Tamandua tetradactyla: one gene and its partners. The protein of the gene in region 1 interacts with the protein of each later gene in a pairwise test. Links are inferred from orthologs where the notes say so. Each region holds a gene or a part of one and is shown in the gene's direction. Other genes may lie near its edges.

Region 1 (7,940 bases):
GAAGGAGATCGTGATGTCTGGCTTGGACCAACCCTGGTTTGCTCTGGGGGTCTGGGCACATGGCCCCACCCCAAAGGCAGCTCTGGTGGCAGTAGGAATGGCTAATACAAGTGCTTCCAACTCACCCAACCCTCGCAGCAATCCTGCAAGGTGGTATTAGCCTTGCTTTACAAGTGAGGAATTGGAGGTTCAGAGAGGTCAAGCATCTTACCTAAGGATGCACAGCATTGGTAAAAAGACGCAGAACCAAGGTTCAAACCTGGCTTCCTGGTTCCGGAGTCCACACTTAACAACCTCGGTGAGGAAGGGACACATTTGAAGAGGGGAAGAGGGTCCAGAGCTGGGAGCCAGCTGGGAGGGAGCCGGTCCCCTCTCATTGTGCAGCCACTTGCACATTCCTTGGATGGATGGCATTTTTTTTATGTGGCTCCGTCTGATGAGCACGATAAAGCTGTCAAGAAAAGCAAGTGGCGGGAGGTTTACGATTTCCTTCAAACTATAATTGCACAGATGAATGAGGCAAACGCCTTTGTGCCAGTGCAGGAGGTGGCGAGAGCCCTCAGAGCTGGCGCATTCATTGAAACTGGCATTGTGCTGGGGCAATCCGTACGCCCCAGCCATCATAGGGGGCAGTACTTCGGTGGCCGGTCATTGATCTGGGGGTTTTGACCTCAGCTTGGGGTCCTGGAAAGGCCACTTCAGTGTAGCAGCAAGAACACAGGGGCTTTGGAGCCAGTGAGTCTTGGGTTCAATTGCTGCTTCCCCCTCTCCCAAATTATGAGCTACGAGGTGTTGGACGCATAATTTAGTCTGTGTTCTCATCCCTAGAGGATCTGGTGAAGTCATAAGGATAAACTACTCTGCAAACGTGATTTTCCCATGAGTTCACAGAGGTGTCCATGCTCCTGGGGACAGACACGCATTAACCGAGCTCAAGGCGGGCTCATTGATAGACCAATAATTCAATGAATTGGCTTATCTGCGGAGGATACCAGAATCCTCAGGCAGCTCCCCTGCTTGGTGGCCACTGAGAACTTCGTCTCCTCTTCTGCCACATTGGGAAAACAGGGGAACAGCAGTGTGGGGATGATTTTAATAATTAAATGAGATGAAAAAACAAAACATTAGCTCTCTTTCTTTCCCTTTCTCCTCTTTAAAGATCTCTCCTTTAGTGGGGTACATGTGGGAAACCAAACTCAGACCCTAAGGGATACTTTAGCCAAGCCAGGGAAGCCCAGGGCCCAAAGCTCCTGTCCTGGGGATTGGATTACACAGGCCACCCTGGGGCCCCCCTGGATAAAATGCTTTCTCTTTGCTTGACCCTTAAAGAGAACATTCTTTGATCACAACAACTTGGCACATGGACCAGAATTCAAGAGCGCTGGATGTCTAGTTGCTCCTGTCCCACCTTTGTCCCCAGCTCGTGGGGGGCCTGTGGGCCAATCAATCAGCAGCCACACCCCCACGGGCTCTTATGGCTGAGACCCTCCCACACTGTCAACAGGCCACTCATTAGAATTCTAGGTGGGCAGGGCCCACACCCTGACCTCTATGGGGGATCTCTTGCTTGGGGGTCCTGGTGGGGCTTCTGATTGACAACTAACCACATTATCTAAATTTCCATCCACCCCTGAGGGGGTTGGGATTCCAGGCTGTTGCTTCTGCGGCACAACCTGAGTCCTGGTAAGAGACTCTCTGGGACCACCCCTCTCCCCATATTTTCTTTTTTCAAGGCTTTAACAGAAAAACTGGGGTGAAAACATCATTTTCCATCTTTGTGGTTTTCCTGAGCCTTATCAGGATGACATGCAATCTAGGAGATGCTTTTCAGATCAATAACTCTGGTGTATAGTTTAGCTGGGTGGTATAGAAATAACTACATTTAAAAGTCATTTTAGCTTCCCAAAAGCAACTCTCCATATTTCGTTCTTGCCAAGATTTTATTAAAGTAACATTCATTTTTGTACTTACTGATAAAAATAAAGCACATTCTCAATAAAGTATCTGGAAAATACAGACTAACAGAAAGAAATGAAAACTACCCACAGTCCCACTCAAAGATAACCACTGCCAACATTCTTATGTATCTATTTCTAGGAAAAAATAATATTTGTTTGAATACAATAAAAGGCTTCCCTATGTAGACATATATACTTTTCTTTTAGAAACCTGAGACTTACATTTTAATTTCACTTTTCTAAAATATTTCATTTAATAAAATAGATTCATTGTTTTAAAATTTATCATATTATTTAATAACATTCTAGACTTTGAATATATAAATTTTACATAATATAAGCTTCATCTATACATACGTTCTTTTTCAAATTTGGGATCACACTGTAATTTGCTTTTTAAATTTTTTTCCCATTTAAAAAAATTAAGGTATAGCTTACATATTAGTGTATGTACACTATACACACAGATCACAAGCACAGTATACATTTTTTTGCCTGCCTTAGCTTCCTAAATTGTGAATGTCACAAAGCATTCTGTTAATTCCAGCTGCAGTGCAAGTCTCTTTCCCTTGGCCCTTTTTCTTCTTCCTGGTTTTGCGATTTGGGAAATGAACTGGATCAAAGTGAATGAAAACCGGTATTTCCATTTTCCTGGAGGTATACCAAGAGGGGTTTGTCCCTCTTCTGCTTGGAAAACTCACCCTTCCAGCTCCAGCTCAGATGTTGCCTCCTCCAGGAAGCCTCTGAGATGACAGCTGGTGGGTGGGTTCTTCCTTCCTCTAGGGTCCCAGCACACCAGCTCACATGCAGTTTATGGGACAGGCACTATTATAGTCTGTTTATTCGCCTTTTCCCCTCCCGGCTGTGGAGGAGGAGGTGGAGATGTCTAAGTAGAGCCCTGTCCCCAGACCTAGGCCACTCACGCGTGCTCGGCAAATGCTCACTGCAGGAACGGAGGGTCTGTCCTGTTGAATCACATTCTGGTGATTGTGCCTATTTCTTACAAGTCAGGTACTTTTTAATTTAATTTAGCTATTTTTAGGGAAAGGAGAAGGGAAGAAAAAGAGAAATAGAGAGGCTGAAAAAGAAAAAGAAAGGAATGAGAAAGGAGAAAGGAGGAAGAGAAGAAGGGGGAAGGAGGGAGGGTGATGTAGGTTGGACAGCACCACATTCTCCATCTGCCCCCCAAAATCTTCATCCAGGTGTAATTATGGGTTGGACGAATTAGGCCGGTACACCTAAGGAGAGCTAGAATGCCTGCAGGTGGTTTGAAGCTGTCTGTTCCCAGAAAAACATGTTTTAAATCTAATCCATTCCTGCGGGTGTGGACCCATTGCAAATAGAATCCTTTGATAAGGCTACACTTCAGTTAAGGTGTGTCCCACCTCATTCAAGACAGGACTTAATCCTTTCACTAGAGTCCTTTATAAACAGAATGAATACCAAGAAAGAAAAACAAAAAGCCTAGAAGAAGCTGAAAGCAAGGAGACCTTGAAGAGACCAGCAGATGCCACTGTGTCCTGCCACGTGGCAGAGGAGCCAAAGCTCACAGGCATATAGTCTTTGGGAAGAAAGCATCACCTTCATGGTGCCTTAATTTGGACATTTTCATGGTCCCAAACCATCAGGTAGTAAATTCCCATTGTCGAAGCTCACACATTTCATGGTGTCTGCAAAAACAACCTGAGAACCAGGGGTAAACTTCATATTTATGTGTAATCACTCAATACACACTTATCGAATGAAAGGAAAGATGGAGGGAAGGTGTGATACTGGACCCTGGGAGGTAAGAACGTCAGAAGCAGCACCTGTCTCAGCGAGCTCAGAGTCGGGAATCCCGAGAGAAGGGCTCTCTTCTCCCCACCCCACGCAGTCGGGGGGCGTGGCTGCCTTCCTACGGCCGGACAGTCGCCAGCGGTGACCGGCACTGGTGTCCTGACATTTGTTTCGCAAAGTTTGCGCTCCAGGAGTCAAACCCGGAGGGGCAGCGCCTGCTTTTATAGATCAAATCCATCTGCAAGAGCCAGCACAGGACCGTCACAGAGCACGCGTTCAAAAACACCTGCAGAAAGAAGGGTAAAAATGACCACCAGAGGCGAGGGCCGCCCCAGCCAGGCTCTCCACTAGTCCCGCGGCAGGTGGGTGTGAATCACTGCCCCACCGGGGAGACCGGACGCCGAGCCCCAGAGGGGCTGCCCTGGGCGGCCGGGCCCAGGGGCGGGAGCTGACCCGGGCGTGGCCGCCCCAAAGCCCGCATTCTCCCCGCGGCGCCACGCTGCGCCTCCGGGTCTCCCCAGGTAGGGCAGGTAGAGCCCGATCCAGGAGTGTCGCGTGGAAACCGCGTCCTTGTGAGCGCGGTAAGGGCAGGTTCGGAGGAGGCGGCGCTCGCAGGCTCCGACCCCGGCTCTGAGCAGTTCCTGGAGCCCGGGGTCGCTTCTCCACGGGGACCCCACCGCCGCCCGCGCCACCCAGGTGAGTGGAGGAGCGACCAGCGGGAAATGCCGGTGCGCAGCGGCCGCGCACAAAGGCCTCGGGTGTCCCGGAGGCTGGGTGGGGAGGACACATCGGCGGCCCCAAGGCCGAACACACGGCCCCGGAAGGCGAGCGGGAGCCCCGAGCCGCAAGCGCTGAGCCCGGAGCTCGGATCCCAGAGTCGTGTACGCACAGGGACCCTCACCTGGGCGGAGCTTGTAGGGGCGGGGCTGCTGTCGCGCCCAGCCAATCAACGCCCGGAAGACTCCGCCCGCCCCCTACCTGGGCAGGCGGCGCTTGCTCATTGGGTCGCCGGTGCCGCGAGCCCGCCCCCGGCGCCGACGCTCGCGCCGACGTGCCCGACGTCGGGCACGTTGACGCCGGTGACGCGCAGGCCGGGCCCGCTCCTCCTCCGCTCCGCCAGTGTCCGGCCGCCGGCCGGCCTTAGTGACTGGGGGCGGCGGGCCCGGGGCCGCGGGAGTCGGGCGGGCGGGCGGGCGCCGGCCGCGGGCTGCCTTCGTCGGCCCCTGAGCTCGCCGGGAGCGAGCAGCCGCCCGCAGCCGCCGCGGAGCCTCCTCGCCCGCTCCCGCCGGTGACAAGGTGAGGGACCCGGGAGACTGAGGTGGGCTGGGGGCGCAGCGGGCCGGGGTGGTCCCCGCGCGCCCCGGGCCCCGGCGCGGGCAGCCTTTCCGTCCGTGCCGCCGGGCTGCGCCGCCCTTCAGATGTCAGCCCCGGGGGAAGGGTCTGCGTCTCCGGGTGCGCACGGGGCTGGGGGCGAGGCCCGCGGCGCCGGGCCAGGGTGGGAGCGCCGCGGCGAGCGCCCGCGGGACCCCCGGGGGACGCGCCCACTCGCCCCGAGGGACCGGGCGCCGGAGCGACGCGCCGCCCTCTTCTCTGGCCGCAGAGACTCCGGGGGCGGCGACACGGTGGGCGTGAGGGGCGAAGACCTGTGGCTGCTGGAAGCCCCTACCCGGGAGGGCCCGCGTTGTGGGTGGCTCCTGCCACCCAGGGGCTGGGGAGGCTGCGGCACCTGACGCGGGAGGGGAAAGGAGCGCCAGGGGGTTGAGCGCCGTCGGGTGTGCTGTCTCTGACATCTCTCTTTTGGGGGTTCACGGTGGTGACCCGGGATCCAGTCCGGACACCTCAGGAGCAGCCACCCCCCCCACGCCCGGTGGTTATGTTTGAGACGCTTAATAGCCTCATAAACTCACCTTTCACTTTCCCTCGCTTCCTAGCGTCCAGGGCTATATCGACCTGCTATATTTCCATTGTGGAATTTTGTGCGTGTGTGTGTGCGCGCGCGCGCGTGTGCTGAAAACTTACGTAAGTTAGGTTGATTGACCAACCATTGTAGCCATTGAAAAACACCTCTCCCAGCCTTTCAGGAATCCACTTCCTTTCACTGTTCACCAAATCCAGCCCAAGACTTGAGGGAGCGCCGTCAGTCCTTCCCAGTAGCTGACTGCACACATTCCTGGGAAATGCCCGATGGATTTTGTACTTGTCAGTTTTACTGGCTGTCTATGCTCCTTCTGTGTTTTTCCTGCAAAAATGATCAGGTGGCATGTGTTTTGGCTTTCTCTCCCCCACCGGGAAATACAGACAAAACAAAAAACCAGCTAAGAAGCAGGCTTGTTTTCAACAACAACAACAAAAATAGCAGCTTTGCAAGCAGAATACCACAGGGTTGATTCTTTATGTGAAGAGTAGTTCTCTTCAGTCTCTACTCCTTCGCTGGGATATTGTCTGTGTCAGTGTCTTCATCTCATGCCACAGCATTTAGGATTTGCACATGCCTGTTTTCCCGGCTTATGGGGAAAGCCCAGCAATCACATCTGAGAATAATGAGATGGTCACTTCTCATCTGTTAGCTCCAGATACCTATAAGGGAGCAGATTTGGGGCAGTAATTGTTTTATGCATAATAACAGCCTTCTGGGTCTCTTCTTTCAAGATGATGTGTGAGGTGATGCCGACCATCAGTGAAGCCGAAGGCCCCCCCCCAGGAGGAGGTGGGAGCCATGGATCGGGTTCCCCTTCACAGCCAGATGCGGATTCCCATTTCGAACAGTTAATGGTCTCTATGCTGGAAGAGAGGGATCGCCTTCTAGACACACTGAGGGAGACGCAGGAGACGCTGGCTCTAACCCAGGGGAGATTGCATGAGGTCGGCCATGAGAGAGACTCCTTGCAGAGACAGCTCAATACTGCACTTCCACAGGTAGGGTGCTTTCAGTTTGCAACACTATAGGTTTTTCCCATTACTTGGTTTCCTTTTTTTAATGGTGGCACTGCTCATACATTCGATGTGTATTTTGTATAATTAACTACTCATGAAATGTTAGTTTCTGGTGATTGGAAGTCAGATGTAGAAAGTAAATTCCTGAGGATTAAACTTTTCAAGGAGAACAAACTCTGTTTTACTTTAAAGTTATGTAAAAATGCCTGTCATCCTGTTCTTGGTGCAACAGAAGAAACTGATTTGGGAAAGTGCTCTGAAGTTTTTGAGAAAGTGCTTGAAAAGTTTTTGAAAAGGACTGTGAAGCAGTCAAGCTTTGTGGTACTTTCAGGTCTCTTGAACTTTTTTTTGTTTTGTTTTGTTTTTGACAGAAGTGTATTTCCCATGGATTGTATCTTGTATATTTCAATTTCCTGTGAAAGTTAATAGGAAGATAGGATTAATTTCACAGAAAAATAATTGTTTTTACAGCCCACCTTTACTAAAACACCTGTGTTCTGTAAATCCTGCTTGTTTTGGAGGTGGAAGACTAGAGATTGATTCCTTAGTAATTTTTGTGTTGGCAGATGAGAATTCTAAAGCTTAAAGTCACGTGGAAGAGCTTACTCTTGAAGTACGTTACGTTTGAATCCGAGTTTCAAAGCCTTTTCTAGTGAAATTGAATGAGGATTTAATGATGGTATGGGGAGAAAGTTAAAACTAGAAAAGTGTACAGTGACTCACCCAGAGTGTAGTTGGAGCAGTGTGGGTTACTTAGGTGTTTCTGAGATATCTAAGTGCCGTTTTATTTAGCCAGAGAGTGTGCCTTCATGGTGCTTTAAGGTGAACCTGAATAAGCATACATCTATACTTTCATGATGAATCTGTAGTGGTAAATTAATAAATTAATAATTAGTAGCCTTAATGCGTTTCTTGGCTCTAGTCAGTTCTCTTGAAAAATTGATAAGCTAAACATTTGGATTTCCTTTTTAGCAACTAGTTTTTCATGTTAATGCTATATATTCCTTTTTTGTTGGATTGAAGAATCACTAAGTTTTTTTTTCTGGTTAGAATCTTCTAAATTGCCAGGTTTGTTTAGATAAGATTTTATTATCATATACCTAAAAGAGTTGGCCAAATTATCATGTTTTATTAGTATTTTATTGTATTTGAAACTCTTTTCAGTATTTTTTAATAATGGTATTTGTTTTCATGTGATGTGAGCTGCATATAGTGAAGTGTTTTTTTAAAGAATGTACACAAAGGACATAAAAGAGAGTGGGGGTGAGTCTC
Region 2 (7,899 bases), on another chromosome or scaffold:
TATTTGTCCCCTCAAATACAGTTGTCTTCTTAAAGTAAGATCCTTAAAGTCAGAAACCAAAACCTTCTTTCAGATGTATTAAATGTTAAAATTAAACACACACACACACACACACACACACACACAAATAAATAAAAATTAAATACCAGGCATCAAAGGTAATAAAAAGCCCTTTCCTTCAAAGAATTTACAATCTATAATTGGGAGATTAAACAGATTACATAATCATTAAAAGGTAGAATAAAATAAATGCCTAAGTAGGGTACAAAATGCTGCAGAAGAAATATGGGGAAATTATGAAAGGCTTTGGGAGGGAAGTGACATCTTGTGATGGGCCTTGAAGGAAAGGTTGGTAGGATTTTAACAGTAAGGCTTGAAGACTAAGATGGAATTTGAAGTCAAGTATAAGTATCTAAAGCAAAGGCACTGAGGTATCATCTTTCATACTATCCCCCCAATACTGGATACCATGCAGCAATTCAATAAACTGATTAGTTTAAGATTACTATTCACACCGGGCAATTTTCCTTTGACTCTCACCTTTCACCTAAATAGATGAAAATCCTTCCCATGCACCATCACACTATGGAGGCTCGTGTTAGATTTGACTATGAAGAACGGATAAAGCTAAGAGACATAAATGAAGGGTTCAGGATCCTAAGGAGTAAGGGGCCTAAATTCTACAGCTCTGGTCTTCTAGTTTAGTTAAGAGGGGATAAGGAAGAGGACGCTTTCCTGATCTTGGTACAGTATCCTACCTGAATTCTGAGCTCTCCTATTTCCAGGGGGTCACAGCCAAGATTAAAAGCCAGAGTGGCAGGGACGAGAGCCATTCCCTCAGCCAGGGGCTCTCCCAGCTGTCCAGACCCGGGTCCCAGCCTCTCAGACAGGTCCCAGCGAGGCTCCAGGACCTGCATCTTGGCCAAGTGCGGCTGCGAAGCGTTCGATGTCTCTTCTGCCCGGGCGACCCATACCCACTCGCCCTGGAAGAGGCCAAGACCCCGGAGACAGCTCCTGCTCACCCCCAGTGAGTCTCCGGTCCCTCCCAGAACTCCCCGAAGTCGCCGGACTGTGCCAAGAGCTGCGAAGGAGGACACCACCGGCGGGGGTGGGGGCCGGCAGACGTCTTCAGTCTCCGGGCCCGGTCTGGCCCGCCCGCGCAGCTCCGTCACAGCCAGTCGCGTCCCCGGGCCCAGTAGCCCTTGCAATGCCGGCCGCGTCTCCAGCACCCGTGGTCCGGGCGCAGGGAGGACCTCTCCGCGCCTCACCAGTAACTGCCCAACCCGTGGCACGAGCCCGGGCCCCGGCGAGGTGCCAAGCAGCGCCCAGCCCAGTGCCGGAGGCCGCCGCACCGACCGCGCTCGCACCCACGCCCCGGAGCCCAGTGCCAGGAGCTGCAGCAGCGCGCGGCTAACCAGCAGCTCCGGGGGCCCTGAGCCTGAGCCCTGCTCTTCAGTTCCCGCGCCCGGCCTCTCCAGGGCCGCCACTAGCAGCGCGGGCCCTGCCGGGCTCTCCCCTGCAGGTCGCAGGGCCAGCACCAAGCCTAGCCCCGCCGTAGGCCAGGGGCCCCCGGGTGGCAGCAGCACCGCCAACGGGGGCGTTTCGGTAGGGAAGGGCTCCAGAACTCGCAGCACCGCCAGCGCCATACTGACAGGAGTCCAAACAGGAAGGCGAAAGATCGCGGCTTCCGGAGCCAGCAAGCGGGGCGACGCAACGACGTGTGCGCCGCTTCCGCTTCCACTTCCATTTCCGTCAAGGGAGGCGAGAAGAAAGCGGGAGTGGGTCGCGTGCGGCGAGCATGCTCTGAGAGGGATGCGCGGCGCCTTGAATTAATTGATCAGGATGGTGACTTGATGGCAGTAACCATTAACGCGGCGGTTGCGCAGCCTTTACGCATGCGCCCTTTGAGCCTATGTTTACAGGAGTTTACGTTCCGTACCTTTTAGAAGAGTAACGTGCTCTCCGCTTTACAGTTTATTAATTGACCAATGAACAACCAGCGTGTCTGAACTTGGCTTGGTACTGGGATCTGTGGGTGGAGTGTTTGGGGAGTCCATCCTCCTGTGAGCGCCCGCAGTGGAACCGCAGGCACTGAGGTTTGGGAATTGGGACGATTGCAGAAGGAAGTGGTAGGGTTATAAAACTCTGTCTTAGACCTGCTTATGGATATGTAGTGGTTGCTGGCTGAAATACTACATGTGATTCATGTAGTTCTGGAGTGCTTGGTGCTGCCACACCTGTTCCAACAGACATCCTACACAAAACCCACGTTCCAACGTTTCTTGTCCTGTTCATTGTCTTGTTCGTTCTACTCCCACAAGAATGGAAGCGAAGACAAAGCTGCATTGCTCTTTCATCTCCCCCCAACCAGTTGCTCTCCCCCACCAACCTTCACAGACTGGAGCCCATTCCGTTTCTACCTTAGAGGAGGCAGAGAGAGCAGCAGAGCAGGCCTAATTATGGGAGGGGGTCGAAGCTTCTGTCATAAGCACGGAGCACCAAGCCTGCTTCCCACTTGTGCTGTAACTTAAATTCCATCCTTGTGTCCACCCCCACTGCTCTGTACAAGACAGTCAGACACTGGTAAGCCACACATTTGCAATTATTACTATATTTGCACTGAACGTCAGTGGATTGAATGGTGGGAATTTACTTTCTGAACTTAGCAGTCTTTTCTAGCTGCTGCCCAGCTATCTCTTTTCCTTAACAGCTAAACATTGTGAAGCAGTCTTCTACTTTGTAGATTATGCACTCCTGAAAAAAAAAGTTTGAAAGTCAAATATCTGAAAGTTGAATATTAGATGTGCATGTTATGAGAAATATCTGTCCCCAGAAAGGGAAGAAAAAAAAAACTTAAAAAGTTGTTTACCGCCACATCTATACAAAAGTGTTCATGAATTTAAGTACCTGGATTTCATGGATGAAAGTTCCCCTTTGGTAGCATTAAGCTATATGTGGCTCTGTCCCCTGCATACCAGTGGTACCAAGGACTGGGAGAGTGGAGGGGAGGTAGGCAGGCAAGGAAGATACCTGCTTTACACAGAAGCAGGCAAACTCTAGGCCTCAGGGCTGTGATGCTTCTTGGAGTCTTGCAGATGGGTAAATATATCTGGCATCCTGCCTGGAGTCCCATTACCCATATCGACACAAATACCCCTCCACAAATAAATGTCCTTTCCTCCTAGGCTTATCCCCCAGTAAATAATGGCATGCCATCATTTTGCTCACTTTTAAATCATCATTAGTCATAGAAAAGTCAATCAAGTTCTGTAAGTAGCCTGTATTTGCCATCTTTACTTTCCTACTTCTTGCTCACTCTTCAATTCACCATAATCTTGCTTCTACTCCTCTGAAACTCCCCTGGTGAAGATCACCCATAACTTCCCAATTGTAGAATCCATGGTCTGCTGTTTGATCTTTATCTTATTCAACCTTTCTAGAATCTAACACTATTAACCAGTCCTCTTTCCTGAAAATATTTTATTCCCTTTGCTGTCATGACACCAGCTTTCCTCCTACGTCTCTGGGATGTCTGAAGTCATCCTCAACTCCCTCCTTTCCTTTACCACCCCCCATAATCCAGTGCATCATTGTTGGATCCTACATATTGCCCAATTCCAACTCCTCCACCCCCATGGCCACTGTACTATAGCATTGCTCTCCTGAGCAAGGACCACGGCTTATTCTTTTATTTTATTTTATTTTTTTAAATATCAAAAACACCAAACAAACACAAACATTCCTATTTTGATCATTCCATTCTATATATATAATCCATAATTCACAATATCATCACATAGTTGCATACTCATCATCATGATCACTTCTTGGAACATCTGCATCTATTCAGAATAAGAAATAAAACGAAACACAGGCTTATTCTTGATGAACCTTCTCCAATTTCTTCATATAACCAATCTGCTGCTGAAGTGGCCTTTCTGAAACATATGTCTTCAAGCCTCTCCTAGGCTTGTGTAGTTGGTCGATCACATTGTATCTTTTTTTTTTTTTTGCATGTGCAGGCACCAGGAATCCAACCGGGCCTCCAGCATGGCAGACAGGAATCCAGCCAGGATTGCACCACCCTATCACATTGTATCTTAATCATCTGTTTTTACAAATCTGTGAATGCCGCCGAACTGTGCACTCCTTGAGGTCAGGAAATGAGTCTAATGAGTCTTATCCATAAAGTCACTGGCTTGGGCAGGATGGAGGGAAGGGATGGATTTCTTGAGACACTGGCAATGGAGTTGCTTTTCTGTCTTGTCAACTGCTCAAGTCTAGCTGATTCCCCAATCTCAAAACATTTGCAGTAGGAATTGGCGACCCACTTCCCAAAATTGGAATGAAGTCGGGATGAGAACCCTAGATGGCAGCCAGGTCAGGTTCTTCTGCAGTTCCCGTCCAGGGAGGCAGACACCCTCAGAGGTCTCTTGGGACCACTCTCTACTAATTTTGCTCATGCAATTAAGCGCTGCTTTGCTCCGATGAAGGAAACTGCCCTTCATTTTAGGGCTTCTTTCTTTCAATTCAGACTGGGCAGGTTAGCAGAGTGGGGAAAGTGTGAGAACCACTTCTGGAAGGAATAAGCAAAGCTCCAAAGGCTGCGAAGAATGGCCAAGGCCGACGCACACCGTACGCTGGAGTACTGCACTCGGAGCCAAGCCTGGGTTTCCCCTTACCCCCGCCTCCTTCGCTAAGCTCGACCCACTTTAAGGCGGGACCTCCCACTTCAACCAATTCTGGGAGCTGAACCCTGGCGGTTTGTACTCTTTCTTTCCAATGGGAAAAAAAGGAAGCAGCTTGGCTCCAATGGCCAATCCGAGGAGGCGGCGCCGGGTTGTCAGGCAGGTTTGTAAGAGTTCGGGCCAATTGGAGGCGCAGACACCTCTCGACCGGGGCGCAGCGCGCAGGCGGTGGCAAAGAGACGGCGGAGCGGGCCGAGTGCGGCCGAGCAAAGCCGGGGCCGGAGCGGGGCCGCAGGAGCCGGGCTGGGTCCGGACGGGCCGAGATGCCCTATAAACTGAAGAAGGAGAAGGTGAGCGTGGTCCTTTCCCCCGCGCCTCCGCCTTGGGGCCTGCGCGGAGCTCTGGGAGGGGCCCGAGCCAGGCCCGGGACAGCCCAGACTGACCCTCCCGTCTGGCCCCCGCAGGACTCCCCGGTCCAGCCTGTCGCCCCGCGGCTCGCAGCACCACCAGCCTGTGCCGCAGCTGGGACAGCTCCCCTACCTTGGCCGGAACCCATTCCTCTCAAATACACCTCCCACTCTTCCTCCTGCCTCCTATCCCCGGCCCCGGGTAACCTCCTCCCTCCAGATCTGCCCCACTCCCAGGTCACTCCCTTGCTTTTTCGCCCCCGCCCCTTCCTCCCAACCTTCCCCCTCCGCCCCACACCCGTTAGGGACAGCCCCACTCATCTGAGAAAGCACCTCGCTCCAGATCTACCCCCTCCCCCTTGCAGAGCCCCTTCCCTTCTCTTTTCACCGCCTAGATGGCCTCCTTCTCTCTCTGCGCCAAGCCCCCTGACCCAGGAGGCAGGTTTCTCTCTCTTCCACCCGAATCTGGACTAGGCCCCTCCCTCTAGTTCTTCACACACAAACTTGTGAGCCCTTCCTTCTGTGGATGGAGCCTCAGAACGTCAGCACTGGAAACGACTTCTCAGCACCGGCAGTCCAGCCTCTAGTGGGACAGATGAGGGGACTGAGGTCCTGGGATGGGACTTGTCCAAGGTCACACAGACTGCCGGAAGCAGAGCTGCAGTATCGGGTCTCCTGACCTAAAGCCCCCCACTCCCAACCCCAGCAGTTATCAACTGGCTCCCAGATTCATCCTAGACTAGTCATCCTTTCTAATCTGAGCAGGCGCCTCCCCTTATTCCTAATCCTAGGATAACCTTTGCATTTTTAATTTTTGCAGCAGTGCTGGATTTCTGTCTTTCCTGGGTCACACTGTTCTCAAATCAGGAATCGGTCTCAAAGTCAGATTAGTTTTCCTTCTTACCCCCATGGGTCAGCCACCCGTGGACACCCATGCCTTTGTCATGGTGTCTTGACACAAGCCATTTCTTGATGTTGCCTTCTTCCACCTTCCTCTTCTTGAGCCATATCACCTTTCCCTCTTCCTCATCCCTGCTTTTTTCTACCCTCTGTTTCCTGCTGTTGCTGTTGGTCTGACTCAGAGGTGTGGTTCCTTTGAGGTACAGACTCACACAGAGGATGCTAGAATACCAGTTCCAGCCACCCCCAGCTTCTCCTCCCCTGGGACCGGCCCCTCATGGTGGGGCTGGCTCTGGCCTGGTGTTCTGGCTGCCCGCTTTATGACCCCAGAGGTGTATTGCTTTCATTTGCTTTCTGATTGGATTGGCTAAGTTGCTAGGCTGCCATCTCTAGGACCTTATCAATCAAACTCTATCCTGGGGCTATTGGAGATTTGCCAGGCAGCTGTGATTCTGGGTTGTCCCCATAACCTCTTGGCCTGAGGTTTGGAATATGGGTTTGGTGATAGTATAATAGCTACTAAACCTCCTGGGGTGCTAGCTGGGCAGGATTGTGTGCCCCTGTCCTTGGGGAGTGGGCATGCAAGGTGATTGGGGCAGCTTAGCTGTAGATGATGCACATAAAGGTCAGCCACACTAGGGGCTCCTTCAAGGAATGTGGAAGGGAGCAGAACTCAGTTGAGGTCCCCGCCATTGATAGCTTTTACTCTGATGGAGCAGATACTGTCCTTTCCACAGAGAGCTGTTGCCTACTGGATAATTGAAAAGAAGAAAAAGTCTTAATTAGACTTGTGAGGGCCACGGTATAAGTATTTGATTGAGAAAGGGTGTTGGGATCAGGTGCATGCAGCCAGGCATAACGCTGATTCCCTTTCAGGTTTAACTTTCAGCTTGATTTTTGGCTGCATTTGGCCTCCTTCAATAGTTGGTAAGTCCTGAGGGAGGAGGGAGGTAAAAATGAGACTGAGGTTTGCCTGGATGAGGCTGGGCAGAAAGAGTGGCCAGTGAGTAGAGGATCTTCATTGCTCACACATCACTTCTCCTCTCTCCTTCATCTCTCCTAGTCTCAATCCTGGCCATCCTTACAGTCTCCTCCCTAAAGTCTTGTCAGTCTTCAGTTGGGAGTGAACTCTCCCTCATCCCCTCGATTTGCAGAACACTTGATAGGCAGCTTATGGACTGGAATTTATTGTGGACAAATTTTTTCTTCCCCCTTGAGATAAACACCATTTTGGTTTTAGCATCTCCCTTGCACACAGTAGGCTGTATGTGGATAGGTGCTGAGTCAGTCTTGGGGAGATTTTCATCCCTCCCCTTCCCTCTTTTTCTGACCTGGGATTTCTCTTATTTAGGTTCCTGGGTAGAGTATCCCTGTTCCCTCCCATTTTCTTCTTGTTCATAATAACAATAATAGTGACCAACCTTTAGAGTTCTTACATGCCAGGCACTCTGTAAGGGAGGTAGGAACTGTGTATGTCACCGTTTAATGGATGAGGAAACTGAGGCTCAGGGAGGCTAGTTAACTTGCCCATGATTATACAGCTAGGAAAAGTTGGACCCAGAACATAAGGCTGACTCCCAAACCCATTTTTTTAAAACCATGGGGCTCCCCAGCACTTGTGCATGGCCAGGCTGAAGTACATACATACCTGTTTCCAAGACCCAGGAAACAAGGGTGACAGGCCTAGTTTCCCCACATGCACACACACTCACTCCCACACTCACCCTGCTTCAAGGGCAGCAAGAATATCTCTTAGGTACCTTCCCTGAGGGATACGTCTGAGGCATTGTGGTAAGTGCCTAAGGTTGGTGGAGGGGGACAATAAAGAATAAGGAGCTTATGATCAAGTAGAGAAAAAGAGAAATCAAACGTGTGTGCAGATGGGTCAGCCCTGTTGGAGAAGC
Region 3 (7,903 bases), on another chromosome or scaffold:
GTTCTTCTTTCTCAAGATTATTTTGGCTTTTGGGGGGTCCCTTGCAATTCCATACGTATTTTAGAATCAGCTTGCCAATTTCTGCCCAGAAGCCAGTTGGGATTTTGATACAGTCTATATTAAAGCTGTAGATCACCTTTATTTTTTTTTTGGGGGGGGGAGGGGAATTGCTTATGTTAGAAATGTGTAGTTTTCCAACCCATAAACGTGGATATCTTTCCATTTATTTAGGTTATCATTCATTTTTCAGCAATGTTTTGTTGTTTTCAGCATATACGTTTTGCACTTCTTTTAGTAGGTCTACTCCTAAATTCTTTTTTTTTGAGCTATTATAAATCGAATCGTCCTCTTAGTTTCATTTTCAGTTTGTCCAGTACTACTGCATAGGAACACAATTGATACCTGTTTATGACCTTGTATGCTGCCACCTTGGTGAATTCTTCTACTAGTTCTAATAGATTTTTTTAGTGGCTTTGTCAGGATTTCCTATGTACAAGCCTGTTGAGTGTGCAAATACAAATGGTTTTACTTAATCCCCTTTTTTTTTTTTTATCTTGATGACATTTACTTCATTTTCTTGCCTAACTGCTCTGATTAGAACTTCCAGTACAGTATTGAATAACGATGGTGACAGCGGGCATCCTTGTCTCATTTCTGATCTTTGGGGGAAAGCTTTCAGTCTTTCCTCATTGAGTGTAATGTTAGCTGTGGGTTTTTCATAAATGTCCTTTACCAGGTTGAGGCGTTTCCTTCTTTTTTTAGTTTGTTTAATCTGTTTTCTTTTTTTAAATCATAAACGGATGTTGACTGTTCTGGTTTGCTAGCTGCCAGAATGCAATATACCAGAAACGGAATGGCTTTTAACAAAGGGAATTTAATGTGTGGCTAGTTTAACAGTTCTAAGGCCGAGAAAATGTCCCAATTAAAACAAGTCTATAGAAATGTCCAATTTAAGGCATCCAGGGAAAGATACCTTGGTTCAAGAAGGCTGATGACGTTCAATGTTTCTCTCTCAGCTGGAAGGGCACGTGGTGAACATGGCGGCGCCTGCTGGCTTTCACGTGGCTCTACCAAAAGGGGACTCTCTCCCAAATGTTTCCTCTTTTAAAGGATTCTAGCAAGTAACTCCACCTTCAGTGGGTGGAGACACACCCCCATGGAAATCATCTAATCAAGAGTTACCACCCACAATTGGGTGGGTCACATCTTCATGGAAACAATCAAAATGCTCCCACCCAGCAATATTGAATGAGGATAAAAAGGCATGGCTTTTCTGGGGTCCACCACAGATTCAGACTACCACATTGACCTTTGTCAAATGTGACAGCCAGGGTTTGAACCCATGCCTGCCTGACTCCAGAATTCCAACCCTTACCTGCAAAGCTGCATCAGTGGATCCCACGTGGAGCCCAATGAAGAGCAAGGCACTCAGCAGAGTGTGTGTGTGTGTGTGTGTGGGGGGTGGTTCCCACCTGTCCCCTTGCTCTTTCGCATTTGAAGTGAACTTGCAGAGAGAGCGATGTTCAATTTGAAAGACTATGTGACAATGGTGGAATCTCTTGTCGTGAGGCAATGTTGTAGCAGAGATATTTCCAACCTGTCTCCCAGGAATTTAAATCCGGATCCTGAATGCGCCTGAGAGTGGCTGTGTCCAAACCTAGCAACAGGCGGCTGGTGGTTTGCTGGTGGGACCCCCAGAGTTGTCTCAAAAAAAACACAACCGAACTGATCATGGTGATAAATATACTACTGTGTGATGATATTGTGAGCCATTGATTGTACACCATGCACAGAATGTCTGCATGTCAAGAATGCTCATGTTTGCGTGTTGTTTTGGTTTGGTAATACAAAATAAATAAAAAAAAAAAAACCACAATGGAGCATGCACAGGTAGTTCAGTGGTAGAATGCTCTTCTTTCAAGCAGAAGGCCTGGGTTCGATTCCCAGACTATGCACCACTCCCCCAAAAAAAACCCAAAAACCCTCAATGGATTTAATTGCCAGGTGCTGGGAGACAGTAGGGTGTGGGGGGGAGGTCTGGCTGGCAAAGGATGGGGAGAAGGGCCCCTTCCACAGAGAGGGAATTGTTCATTAACTAAACTATTCACCCAACAAACAATAAGTCACACCTACAGCGTGCCAGGTGCCCTCCACACCCCACTTTCCAATTCTAGTGCTTTCCCCAGTGCAAAACTTTGAGATTCAAACCACTCCCTTGGGGAGCACTTTTCTCCCCTCTTCAGTTATCTGCAAGGTTTGGCTCGTGGGAAGCCTTGGTTTTGTGCTGCTGCAACCCTAAGGTCTTTCTGAAACTTGCCCACCTCTAGCCAGGATCTCACTAGAATATTATGTTCTTGTCTATGGTCAACTTCCGTTTCTGGCCAGCGATCCCGATTTTCCCATTTACAATGTCCACTTTTATCGAGCAGCCCTTTCTTGAGTCCGTATTCCATGCCCGGTGCTGCCTGGACAAGCTGTAACTTGTTTCACAACCCTAGGAGGGAGAGGCTATTATCATCCTCACTTACAGGCAGGAAAAGCAGGGCTAGAGAGGGAAACAGAAAACGAACAGGCAAAAACATAAAATTACTCTGAATTGTGGTAGATATTCTGGCATCGGGAGGCAGACGGCCATGTGTGACCATTTTGGTGGGATGGTGGGGGAGCTGTCAGAGACTAGATGGTGTAGGGGGATCTGGCCTTGGAAAGAGTAGGAGGAACAGAATTAGAGACAGAGGGAATAGCATGTGCAAAGGCCCTGAGGCAGGACTGGGCCTGGCCTGCTGGAGGAGAAGCTAGAAGGCCCCTGTGGCTGGAGCAGAGGGACTGAGGGGGAGAATGGGAGGAGGGGAGGGCTGGAAAGGGACGAGGTGGGGGGCAGATCGTTCAGGAGCTTATGGGTTACAGGGAGGACTCGGGCTTTTATCCCCAACAAGGTATGAGGAGTGTGACTTCCAGGAGGCAGGGATTGTGTGCACTGCTTGGGTTACTTCTGTCTCCCCAGCCCAGTGCATAGGCTGAACGGATGGGTTTACTGGGTACATGCGGCACTTGTATCTTTTTTTCTTTTTGCATGATCAGGCACCGGGAATCGAACCCGGGTCTCCGGCATGGCAGGTGAGAACTCTGCTTGCTGAGCCACCGTGGCCCACCCATGACACTGTATTTTCCTTGTTTGATCACAAGAAGCCTTCAAAGTATCCCTTTTTGCAGATGGGGGCACTGAGGCTCAGAGTATGCAAGTGATTCATGCAAGGTCCCTCCCCTTAAAGAAAAAGGAGGTTGGGCCAGGCTCCAGACCCTCCAGACCCCAGCATTCCTGCCTCCATCGAGCACTTGAGGTTTGAACACCTAGTGGGTCTGACATCCGCGCACAGACCATCCCATATTGTCCTGGAAGGTGGGGCAGTGTCCCCTCTGAATGGAGACAAGAAAACAGCCAGGCCAGGGTCATTCAGACAGGAAGGACGACAGAGTGGGTTCCACTAACCTGCCCGCTGCACTGGCCGCTGGGAAACTCAGGAGCTTAATTTAGGCTCTTTGTTTAATTATTCATCATCTCCTCTCTCTTCTCCTGTTTATGACTTCCGCCTTCCCATTTTGTTCCCGGGGTTAATGCTTCTTTGTTTATCTGCCTCTTTAGCCCCGAATGAATGAATCAACGATTTTAGAGGAAAAAAACCAAAACACAAAATTCTATACTTGATTCCCTCTCAGGGCATCTGGACCTCTCTATGTATGTACCTGGAGGAAATAAATGCTTTCAACATACTCAAAAACACGGTAACTCGAGTGCAATGTGGGTTGGCATTTTTGAGCCTCCAAACTTGCCCCACCACTGCCCGTGAGAGTAACTTTTTAATTTTTTCATATGTTCTCCCCACCCACAGGCCAGGCAGGCACATCCTCACAATCCATCTTCACGCTGTCTGCGTGATGAGGCGCTACCTTTGCCCCCTCTGGCAGATGGGGCGCTTGAGACCCGGAGAAGCAAATCCATTTTTGCAAGTGGGGAGACTGACGCTCAGGGTTCCACACAGCGAGTCACAGTCTGCGCTGGTTTGTCCTCACTCCACCTCAGCAGGGAACGGTCACAGCAGGTGAGATGCGTGTTGAAGTGGTTACTCTGCACCCCCCCCCCACGTCATCCATTCACTCATCCATTCAGTCAATATTTAGGGATCCCCAGTCCCCGAGGAGAGGGCTCTGCGCGTGTCCCCTCATTCATGGAGTCACATCCTAGCGTGACTAGAATACAAGCGGGAATGATGGAATGGCTGGCGGCCCGACCAGAGAGGCTCTCTCCCCGGAGCTGAGGTTGAAGTGGAAATCTGAAAAGAGGAGGAGAAGGAAAAGCATTCCTGGCAGGGGGAAAGGGAAGGACAAAAGCCCTGAGCCAGGAACGAACTTGGCATGTTGGAGGGACCCGAAGAGGCCCGGAGCTGGGTGACCCGAGGGCCAGGGCTGTGGGTGGGAATTTCGGGCCAGGTGGGCCGAGGCGAGGCAGCTGGCTTTGATTCCAAAGGCTAAAAGTGAGCCCCAGCAGGGTTTACAGCCAGACATGACATCCGCCGCGGCCTCCAGGGCCGGAGCGGCCCCTCTGTGTTAACACCGCCGCCCACGTGCTTCCGCGGGACCCGGCAGTCCCCACGTGCTCCCGCGGCCCTTTAAACGCCCCCGGACCACGTGCCGGGCCCGTGCCTCCTCATTGGCGGAGGGGGGCGTGGCGACTGCGCGGCTGCGCAGTGACGGGCGCGGGCCGGCTCCGCCCCCGGGCCGGCGGCGGGCGGTGCTGGCGGAAGGGATGACGTCACCGGCTGGGCTGGTTAGGGAGGGCGGGTGGGGGGGTGGCGCGCGAGCCGCAGTGAGTGTCCCCGCGCCGCCCGCCCGGCAGCCCGGCCGGCGCGCGCACGCCGCGAGCCGCTGGCGCTCGGGGCTCCGCTCGGCTTCCATGCACCAGCCAGGATGTGAAGCGGGGCAGAGCCCGGGGAGCCCAGCCCAGCCTGCCTGCAGGTAACGGGGGAAGAGATGCATGCCCTCGATGCCCCCCACCCCAGAAAAATAATAGCCAGTCCCCCAGCCCCACCCCCGCAAAGCCATCCAGGCGCTCGGCTGGGGGTGGGGTGTGGGGGGTTCTTGGCGGCAGCGGAGTGGGCAGCGCGCCGGCTTTGTGCCCGGCAAGCCCGCACGGCCATTGTGCGCGGGGGAGGCTGCTCGGCTGCAGCCCGCTGCCCTCCCAGCGCTGCGTCGGGAGAGCTGCCTCCCAACAATGCCCCCGAGGGGCTGGGCCGCGGGGAGGGCTCTGCTGGCGGGGGGAGGGGGGACTTCGCCCCGCGGCGTGGGAGTGTGTGTGGGGGGACTGGGTGGGAATGGCCCGGAGCCCCCCGCTGGAAGCTTCCCAAGCGCCGCGGGCTGCACCACCCGGGGCTGCGGGCGAGGCAGAAGCGCGGAGGGGGGACGCGCTTGTGTGTGTGTGTGTGTGTGTGTGTGTGTGAGTGTGTGTGAGTGTGTGTGGCGGGGGTGCCGGCCCCAGCTGGACCGGGGATGGGTTCTGGAGGCAGGGGGCGCTGTGTTGGGGGTGCGCTGCGCCCCGGAGTGGAGATGAGCCTAGGATGTGTGGCTCGAGACGGGAGCCGGGGTGGGGGTGGGGGGCACGGGTCCGGCCGGTGCGCCCGGGGCGGCTGCGGCGCCCACCGCCTGCTCTTTCCGGATCTGCCCCCTCCCCGGGGGTACCCCTGACTCAACCCACTTTCTTCCTCACCGCCTCCCCACCCCGTAGATCCCTTGGGGTGCGCCCCTCCGACACCCTTGTCCTTGCCCCACCCTTCTGCGGCCCGGCGCCCCCTCCTCTTTTCCCCAGGCGGGACGAGCCCGGACCTCCGGCCCCAGGGGCTCCGGCCGACCGGCGTACGCGCCGGACACCCCGACCTCGCTTCGGGAGCTGGGGGCCCCGTGGGGATCCCCGGAGAGGGGAAGCCGCCCCTGGAGCTACCAGCCCCGCGGACTCTGCAAGCCCCGGGAGCCCCCTGGGGGGACTGGGGGGTAGCGGTGACGTCATCCCTGGGGGCGGGTCCGTCGGAATCAGGTTGAAGGGGGCGCGGGGTGGGGGCGCGGGGCGTGTTCTAAGGGGAGACCCCACGGGTTAGCATCTCTGCACCCTGCACGCGTGGGTTCGGCCAATCTAGGGGCCAAGTTCACTGCTCTTCAGGAGACTCTCCCCTCCTAGATTTAGGATCCCTTCTTAGCACTGTTCCCGGCAAATCCTGGACCCTTTGCCTACCAAAGCTCCCCCCCCCTAAATTGGGGAACTCCCATTCAGCCTCTTTCTCTCCAAAATTCTCAAATCAGGGAACACCCCACAAACTGGAATCTTTCCTCAGCCACACCTCCCCCCCCCCAATCTGGAACCCGGGTTCTTCAGTGACGCCTACCCCCCATCTGAAATCTTCCTTCAGTGGCTCCCCAAATATGCATCTGTTGAGGGCACCCCTTCCTCGGCCACCCTCCCTCAAATTCAGCCACCTCTTAGGGATCCCAAAATCCATCTCCCTAGCACTTCCTTCAGGGGGGCCATTCCCCTCCCTCCCTGCTCAGCCGGGATTCCCTCGCACCCCTATCTCAATCGGGGGTTAGAGTGCCCATTCCGAGCATCGGTGGAGTCTACCTTTGGCTGAACCCCTGAAAAATCAGCCTGGCCACCGCGGCTGATGAGGGGGGTCTGAGGTATCCCCTGTCCCAGCTGAGTGCCAGGGATGCTGAGAAGCTGGGACAAAGCCAGTGGTTCTCCAAGGGTCCTAAGGTTGGGGACCCCCCTCTCTGGTCCTCCACCAGCTTCTACCCTGACTTTGGTTGCTGGGATTCCAGCCTTTTCTCTATGTGCCCCCTCCCCCCATGGCTGCTGTCCCTGGGGTGCAGGGGATACGGTCCCCTCTTTGTCCGGGGCACCCTTCTTTCCCCTCGGAGCCGCTTTCTGCCCGCGAGGAGAGAGTGAGCGAGCCAGCCGGCGCCTCTGCCCCGGTGATGCCAGCTGCTGCAGCTGCTGCTGCTGCTGGAGGTTTTATTAATGACCGAGGGACTCGGTCGATTCTGCCATTTGCATAGCTCCCCTCCCCCTCCCCGGGTTCCTTTGTACCCCCCTCCCCCTGCCAATCTTGCCTTCTGTCCCTTGGCTCCTTTCTTCTTCCTTTGCCAGATGATACTTTGGCGGCGGAAGACAGGCAGCTGGGGCTGGGGGCGGCCGCTCCCCGCCTCTCAAATCCCAGCGCCCACAGGCTTGGACCTGTGACTGGACAAACCACCCCTCCAGTGTCCCCCCTCTCCGCCAGTGCCCTCCGCCTGGCATCTCTTTCTGCCTGCTGTCTGTCTGTGTCTCTAGGTGCTTCCCCTCCAGAAAGCCTCATACTGCCCCGGCCACCCTACCCCCCCACCCCCAAACCTGCCAAGGGGGTTTGTCCCTTTATCATGACGATGCACTTCTGCATGGGGCACTCCCCCCCCCCCCAGCCCCTTGGGGACCATCACACTCGCTCTGAGAGTTGGTGTAATTAGGCTCAGGCAAACAGAACCATCACGGGAGACCCAGCCTGGCTGGTGAGCTTATGGCCTTTTCTATTTCTGTCACCCTAGCCGATGACATTGGCACCACCCGCCCCCCCCCCCCGGAAGGGGTGCCAGGTGGGGGGGGTGCTGGTACTGTCGTGTCAGTGTCTGTCCCCGGAGGCGGTGGCTTGGCCTGCCCCTCATCCCCTGGTGGGGATGGATGATGGGTGATTCTGGCGTGGCCTAAGGGGTGGCATTGGAGGGGTGGGGTTGGGGGCTGGCTGGCTGCTCCCCCAGGGTCCCTCACCAGGCGATGTGCGGTGGGCGCAGATCCGAGCCCTTAAGCACAGGCATCCGCCTCCCG
Region 4 (7,442 bases), on another chromosome or scaffold:
CCATAAAATTTAAAACAAGATAAAACTTTGCAGCACCTAACAATGTTGTATGAAACAATAACATCATTTAAAAATGTTCATGGAAAAGTAAGTAAACAAGAGGAGCAATAAGAAATCATTGTTGAATTTACACAGTATATATTAACACATAGAAAAAGATTGATTGGGGCAGAACACGGTGACTTAGCAGGCAGAGTTCTCGCCTGCCATGCCGTAGACCCAGGTTCAATTCCCAGTGCCTGCTTGTGCAAAAATAAAAAGGAAGAAGACTGATTGGCTACTGTATTAGGGTTCTCAAGAAAAATAAAACCAACAGTAAGTATATTGTGTGTATGTGTGTATGTGTGTGAGAGAGAGAAAGAGAGAGAGTATAAGATTATAAGGAATTGGCTCACATAACTACTCTGGGTGCAGCCCCATCTCAGCAGGGCAGAATGCAAGCTGGAAACTCCAATAGAGGTGATGCCCCAGTCCTTCATCTGATATCCCCCAGGGAAGGTGGATGGCTGGGAATTGCAAAAGGCAATGGTCTAGTTGAGGCAGAAATTCTTCTAACCTCTGAAATCCTTAGTTCTGGCTTTTCAGACTTCCTACTAATTGGATGAGGAGTCTTTTGGCACTGCTGAAAGCTAACCCCTTTGTTGATTATAGTATAATTTGTGTGTGTATGTGAGAGAGAGAGAGTGTAGATGCAATAAACTAATTATGGGTGCAAACACCACCTATAAAACACCCTCACAGTAACAAGCAGTCTAGTGTTTGACCAAACAACTGGATACCATAACCTGGCTAAATTGATAGGTGAAATAAAATATCACAATATACAAAAATGGGATTTTGAATGACTTATTTTTTTTCTTTTTCCTTCAGTGTTTTTTTTTTTTTTTTTTTGAGGGGGTACATGGTCAGGGAATCAAACCTGGGTCTCCCGCATGAAAGGCGGGCATTCTAACCACTGAATTACCCGTGCACCCTCCTTCAATGCATTTTTAAACAATTCTTAGTGATAAACACTGAATTATTTTTATAAAGTGGAAAATATGCATTAATTTTTGTAAAAAGGAAAATAAAAACAAACTGTTCCTTTAAAATAATAATTAGTAATTTAATCTTGATCCAAGTTGAGAGAATGAAAATATGAGAGGTATCATGATGAGTAGGGAAAATGAAATACAAGATTTAAAAGCAACTTAAAGAGAGGAACGAGGAAGATGGAAGAACTGTGGGAAACTGCTTATGGCACCGGCAGTGTGCCGGCCATCTTGTGGTCTGATGCCATCTTAGGGACTAACTCAAGTTAAATTTCTATTTCCTCACTTCTGCTCTGCCCTTCCCCCAAATCAGCTGACCAACCTCGGCTGATCCACCTTTGCTATCTTAGTCTCTGCAGATTGGCCTAGCTGCAGTGCAATGCCCATCACCTGCTAACGCCTGATACAAGGCACTTCCCCTGTCCCGCTGGATAAATACCCTGCATTTACCCTCAATAAATTGAGACGTGATCAGAAACCTGTCTTGTCTCCATTTTCTGTGTCTTTTGTCCCATCTGTTCTCACTCCCTCCCTCAGGTCCAGGTTCATCTGCCGCGTGGGTCGGGACAAAGAACCATTTTTGTGAATTGTGTCTCAGTCCAGACATTGTGCCATGCGTAGATGCTAGACCTTTCATTTTTATCACATGATAAAACCTTAAATTTGGCAAAGTATACTAAGAATAAAGAAACATAAAGTTCTTGAATTTTTTTTTTCTTTCTTTAGGATCTGAAGAGCTGATAATTTATTTATTTCTAGACATGATAATGATTTGGAAATTAAGTGCAGTGCACAAAATAAACACGATGAATATTTCTTTTTAGTAATTTGGGTGTCCCCTTAGCTTCTATGTCTGATTATTATTGATGCAGTGGTGTTATTTCCACAAAGTATAGTTCCTTGTACCATGTAAGACTTTTTTTGAGCACTTATTTCATTTAATCCCGCCAAAACCCTGAGAAGTTGTTTGCACCATTCCCATGTTATAGATGAAGAAACAAAAATTCAGCAAGGTTACATGATTTCCCAACATCTCAGCAAGGCTGAAAGCAAATGGAAACTATCAAAATCAAATTTTTCATGGATTATTCTCAAACTGAGCATTACTTTGAAGAACACTATTATAGCAATTATGAAACTATGCCATAAAAAATCACAGTACAGATTTTACAGCTTCCTTTAGCCAGTCATATTATAGTTTTGCACATTCTATGTGCGTGTGGCAAAAAAAAAAAAAAAATGTTGTCAGGTTCTGTTAGTAATACTGAGGTTGAGTATTTTAGCAAGGCTCTATACTTGACTTCTAGTTTGATTTACAAAATATGTATGTAAAAAAAGATGAATCAATGTTACTTAAGAGGTATACTTTTGGTAGGGCGATTATAATGCCTATTAAATAATGAATTAGACATCCAAGAGCTTTTTAGGATAATTTAAAGATTAAATCAGAGGCAGATACCATTAGGCTAATTTACTGAAATATTATACTTTTGTTTTCTTACCCATAAAGTGGACTTTAAAACACAAGAATTAGAAATAGTCTCTAAGGAACATAAGCAATCATTAAAATTAGCCTCTGGCCACAGAGCTCCTTATTACCCCAGTTCTGGTTACTTTTAAGGGTGACATAAACCCATACTGACTCTAGGTTCCTTTATTCACATTGACCTTTTCTTCCATTCCACTAATGCCCAAAATAATTTGTGTAGCATCCAACTTTTCCTTTGAGCTCTAGAAACCTTTATCAAACTAAACATTTGCATTTAGTTGTCTCATAGGTATTTGAAAGGTAATCTATCCAAAAGGGATCTCTTATCTTACCCTCAAACCTAATTAGGCCTCAATCCTCACCATCTCAGGAAACGGCAATGCCATACATCCAGTTTCTCAAACCAGAAATTTGAGCATCGTACTTGGTTCCTTACTTCACATTACCCTCACGCCCAGTGACCCAACCAGCCTTTTCTTAATACCTTCTAACTGTATCTTGAATCCACCCAGCAGCCTTTACCTCCACATTCAGTATGGTACAGCCCAAACCTCCTTACAGCACATCCACGCCCAAACACCCTCTTCCAGGATTAGTCATCAGACAACAGCCAGATCATCTTTTAATAAAAATTTTAAAAGGTAAATTTATTTATTTTTATTTTTAAATGCATTTGTTCTTTTGTTTTTAGCCCACATTTTTAGTCATTTTAAATCTTTTAAAACAAAAATTGAAATAATATAAATCACCATGAATTTTTTCAATGGTTTATCTATATATTGCATCCTCCATATTAAATATATATTTCATAATCATTTATTTTAAGAAATTTATTAAAGAATAATTAACATATAATAAACTGTCCATGTTAAAACTACAATTTGATGGAGATTTGAAAATACATATATACATCAGAAGCCATTGCCACATACAAAATAACAAATACCCATCGCGCCCAAGAGTTTCTTCATGGCACTTGCAATGCTTAGCTCTCTCCCCTCTGCACTCATGTCCCTAGGGAACCACTGATCTGCTTTTTGTCACTTAAGATCAATTGACATTTTCTGGAATTTTACAGAAATGGAATAATAATTCCACTTGCTCTTAAACAGCTCATATGAGTTTTAATTAATTTCTCCATTTCCACTCTTCCAAAATGGGGGTGGGGGGGGTTGTGTACTCAGGGTGAGCAAGTTTAGTAACTATTTTGGGAGAAATTCCAGAGGGATTTGTTCAGGTTTTACAGTGACTAGCAAAACTCCTGAGACACCTGCAGTTTTTCAAATAGATTTTTAAAACATCAATTAATAATATTTTTCACTAAAAATTTAAAAAAACATTTTGTTCTAGATTTGTCTTTTTTTTTTTTTTAACAGTAATTATCTTGGTTTGTGGAGATTCTGTCTTTCTAAAGACCTTATGTTAGTCAAAGCAGTTTTTACTCAAAGGGCTTTATGTGTGTTTACCAAATAATTAAATCTTAAAAGTTTGCATTGTAAAGAATATTCCCTTCTGTAAGAATTTTTCAAAAACTTTTCCAAAAGAAGTTTGTTTCCTTATTTAAATATATTAAATAATAAGCTGTTTTATCTTTCATATTGTGTATAATTTTTACAAAGTTCATTGAATTTTTATTTCAAAACTTTTATTTTTCTTCCTAGAATAATCATAGCATTTTTGTTGTCTTGTTGCTTTACAAGGAATGTTTTAAGTTGCCCTTTACCACAATGAGTATGAAAGAAAATACCAAAGTACTACTAATTCAGTTCTTATTGGAATTTGAAATTCTCCGCGAGCTAAGTAGTTAAAAAAAAAATGCATCACTAAATAAAAAGTATTTTAATAGCATCTTTTTTATTTTAATAGCATCTTTTAACAACATTTTAATTGTTGTCACATTTCATCTTTGTTTAGGGAGACGTCTTGTGCACAGCCGCGGGATCTAGAGAACAAGTAAGATTTAAAACATGCTGGGGTTTTGTGGTTGTTGTTTTCTTGTCTGCCTTTCCAATTTTCTTTATTATTTAATAGTATTTCTTTACTACTGTCAGTTGTAGCTTATTAGAAAAATGTTAATAATTTTATTAAGAAGTATGGGAAAAAAGTAAACTTTCAACACTTTCAGATTTTTTTGGAGGCTTAAAAAAAACTGACATAAATTTTCTGTATATGGTAAGCAGATAGCAAGAGGTTACAGATAAAGTGAAATTTCAAGCCCTAGGTAATGGGCATGATTTTAAGGTCAAGGATGATTATGAAACCAAAGAATGAATTTTTACAAGCTAATGGTTATAAATACTTTGGTACAATCATTTTATTTTGATCTGATGCCCGTCTATGGTAATAGGTCACTGAGTGACTTGATTCCCTCAAACCCTACCTGTAATGGAGGTATTACACCATTAAAACCAGAAAACCTGGACGGCATGGGCTATTCCCTAAGAACTACCACTGATATTGGAATGAGATATGTTTGGGATGATGAAAGAGCATTCAATTAATGGACTATCTCAGAGAAAGGATGGGATAGTGGTTAAAAGGAAAGCAAATAAGTAAGAAAAATGAAAAGAGGGAAGAATTGAAATACTTTAAAGAAATAAGGGAGAAGGCAGATCTCCATAAGAATAAAGAGAGTTAACAGATAAATTATATCTAGGTTTACAATAAATTACATATGTGTCACTATCAACATGTGGAAGAAAGGAGAGATATACCAAATTAAAGAGTAGAGATTAGGGACTGGAAACGAAAGAGATAGAGGCAGAACATACAATAGGTTGTGCTCTAGAGAAAGAGAGAAAGAAAGCAATAAACAACAGTGAAGAAAGCTGCATTTTTTTTTTTTTTTTTGCTAGTTAGCTTGTTTGGCTGTTGAGAGTTAGCTAAAATTCAAGTTTTAGTGATTTAAAGAATAGAGGCATTGAGTAATTTTTTTATTTCATTGAAAAAGAAAAAGTTTTAGTAATCATGGGATTATTTGATCTTTCTGAGAATCCTGCTTCATGCTTAATTTAAGCCATGTTTAAGTGAAGAAACTGTTTCTTGATTTATTTCAAATGTTCTAAACTCACTATACCCATGAAATCATTTGCCTACTTAAAAGGGAAAAGCATGCATTTAGGGTGATGAAATAAGTCATTAAAGTGTATTTCTAATCCACAGAAAGCATATGCTAAACAATTCAAATTTACACTGGGAACATTTCAAATTACTCCTCCATTCAGGGACACAAAACCTTAGAATTACCCTGCAGTTATGCTGTAATTACTGTTGGCTGGCAAAGGAAAGGTTAACAGTAGCATTGATCTCACTTGTAATGCACAAATTCACCAAGGAATCTTGCAGTATTTGACAGTGTTTCTATCCCAAAGCATAAACCATAATGATTCACCAAGGTAACCTCCATTTTCATTGGCACAAAGATACAAATAAGTGAGAAATTGTTTTTTAAAAGCACTTTGTGTTCTAGGTTTGTGATTGTTATTGTTCCTTTTTTGTTGTTGTTGTTCATTTATTTTTGCTTTGTTTTAGTGGCTATTATGTGTTACTTGCTTATCATCACGTAAAAAACGGTTTCTTGCTAACAGTTGAAGTGTCATGGGTAAAAAAGTAGATGTATATGGAATCCATTATTTAAGAAGCTATCACTACTAGTTTACCCACCATCATCCATTATTTTAGCAACTACAGAGCAGATTTCACCCATGCTGGGGTAGAGAGAGCCATTGTCTCTGACTAAATCTGAAACTGGGGTGAGATTCCCAGGGCTTCTATGTAATCTCCTTGACCTTGATGTTCTAAAGTTTAAAATGGAGATAAGCTTATCAATGGACAGGATGGTTATGGTGTTTGAAATATTTACCAATCTGAAAGCCATTGGAATTTGGTCAGCATTTCTGGATGACATTCCTCGTAAGACCTGGGTTCTAGCTCTTTACTTACATCCTCTTATCCAGAATCCCACAAACCACACAAATGACTTGACTGCCAGTGTTTGTACTTGTTATTCAATTTTACCATTAAAAGAAGTAACTGTAGGGGTAGTTCAACCTTTCATTTAAATAGCATTAGCCATTATCTTCATAGCTCCATATCTGGAATGCATAAAAAGTCCTTCAGTCTCATAAAAAAACCCCACACCTAGTTACCTGGAACTTTACATTGCTCTAATAGAATGAAGCAAGGACTCCCTTCCCCATTTTAATCCCACTAGGGTAGGTGGCTTTACATATATTACTTCATATAATCTTCAAATCAATTATGTAAGGAATATCTGATTGTTTCCATTTTTCAGATACTTCTCAGAAAAGCTTATAAACATGACTGAGATCGCACAGCTCCAAAAGGGAAAGAGTTGGAATTGGAACCCCGAGCTCTTTCCCCACAATGCATGTACATTACCAAACAACCTGCTGCCTTCACTGGTGAAATATAATGTTTTCAGTGCAAATGTTTTTGGGAGAATTATCACAGTGATTTAGTCCACACTGATTTGGAGAAAACATTTCATAGTAGAGAGGAGGGAGAGTGAAAGAGCTCACAATTCCCAAGGAGGGCCAGTGATTGAAAGTGTAAGCCATGGGCCGCAGAGGCCTCTCGCTGACTGAAGCTGTGTCTTGGACAACTTATTGGTTTTCTTTTCTTCCTTAAGAACAACCCAAAGATCCTCTTTCCTGTGTGCCCCAGCTTTTTTTGCTGATGGTGTGAAATCTGTGGTTCATTTGAGTTAGTCTAAGTATACTTGCTGAAGTTCAGGAAATGCATATTGAACGGTCCCTTTGAGACAAAAGTCCCTTGAACTTCTTTAATAAAAGAAAAAGGGTGTTAAAAAAAACCTGAGGCCTTGGATGATTGGTTGTTTAATTTAAAAAACAATCATGTTCTGTTCAATTTAAGTTAAACAAGTTTTATGCTTTTTTTGG

Evidence for each region.
Region 2: the proteins of PPFIA1 (region 1) and PPP2R5D interact in binary tests that used the Homo sapiens proteins (3 or more experiments, as listed by UniProt). The link is inferred for Tamandua tetradactyla from reciprocal best matches to the Homo sapiens genes PPFIA1 and PPP2R5D.
Region 3: the proteins of PPFIA1 (region 1) and PTPRS interact in a two-hybrid assay, tested with the Homo sapiens proteins (2 studies listed by BioGRID). The link is inferred for Tamandua tetradactyla from reciprocal best matches to the Homo sapiens genes PPFIA1 and PTPRS.
Region 4: the proteins of PPFIA1 (region 1) and PTPRD interact in a two-hybrid assay, tested with the Homo sapiens proteins (2 studies listed by BioGRID). The link is inferred for Tamandua tetradactyla from reciprocal best matches to the Homo sapiens genes PPFIA1 and PTPRD.

Annotation. Positions count from the first base shown.
Region 1 is NC_135335.1:4,371,061-4,379,000, reverse strand, and holds the start of PPFIA1 (liprin-alpha-1), read left to right. Parts: upstream 1-4,940; 5' UTR 4,941-5,030; intron 5,031-6,383; coding exon 6,384-6,650; intron 6,651-7,940. UniProt on the Homo sapiens protein: May regulate the disassembly of focal adhesions. May localize receptor-like tyrosine phosphatases type 2A at specific sites on the plasma membrane, possibly regulating their interaction with the extracellular environment and their association with substrates.
Region 2 is NC_135331.1:100,571,650-100,579,548, forward strand, and holds the start of PPP2R5D (serine/threonine-protein phosphatase 2A 56 kDa regulatory subunit delta isoform), read left to right. Parts: upstream 1-4,895; 5' UTR 4,896-5,011; coding exon 5,012-5,038; intron 5,039-7,899. Other genes in the region: PEX6 (peroxisome biogenesis factor 6), read right to left, coding at 759-1,646. UniProt on the Homo sapiens protein: The B regulatory subunit might modulate substrate selectivity and catalytic activity, and might also direct the localization of the catalytic enzyme to a particular subcellular compartment.
Region 3 is NC_135337.1:76,748,743-76,756,645, forward strand, and holds the start of PTPRS (receptor-type tyrosine-protein phosphatase S), read left to right. Parts: upstream 1-4,897; 5' UTR 4,898-5,013; intron 5,014-7,903. UniProt on the Homo sapiens protein: Cell surface receptor that binds to glycosaminoglycans, including chondroitin sulfate proteoglycans and heparan sulfate proteoglycan.
Region 4 is NC_135328.1:88,631,926-88,639,367, forward strand, and holds the start of PTPRD (receptor-type tyrosine-protein phosphatase delta), read left to right. Parts: upstream 1-4,434; 5' UTR 4,435-4,473; intron 4,474-7,442.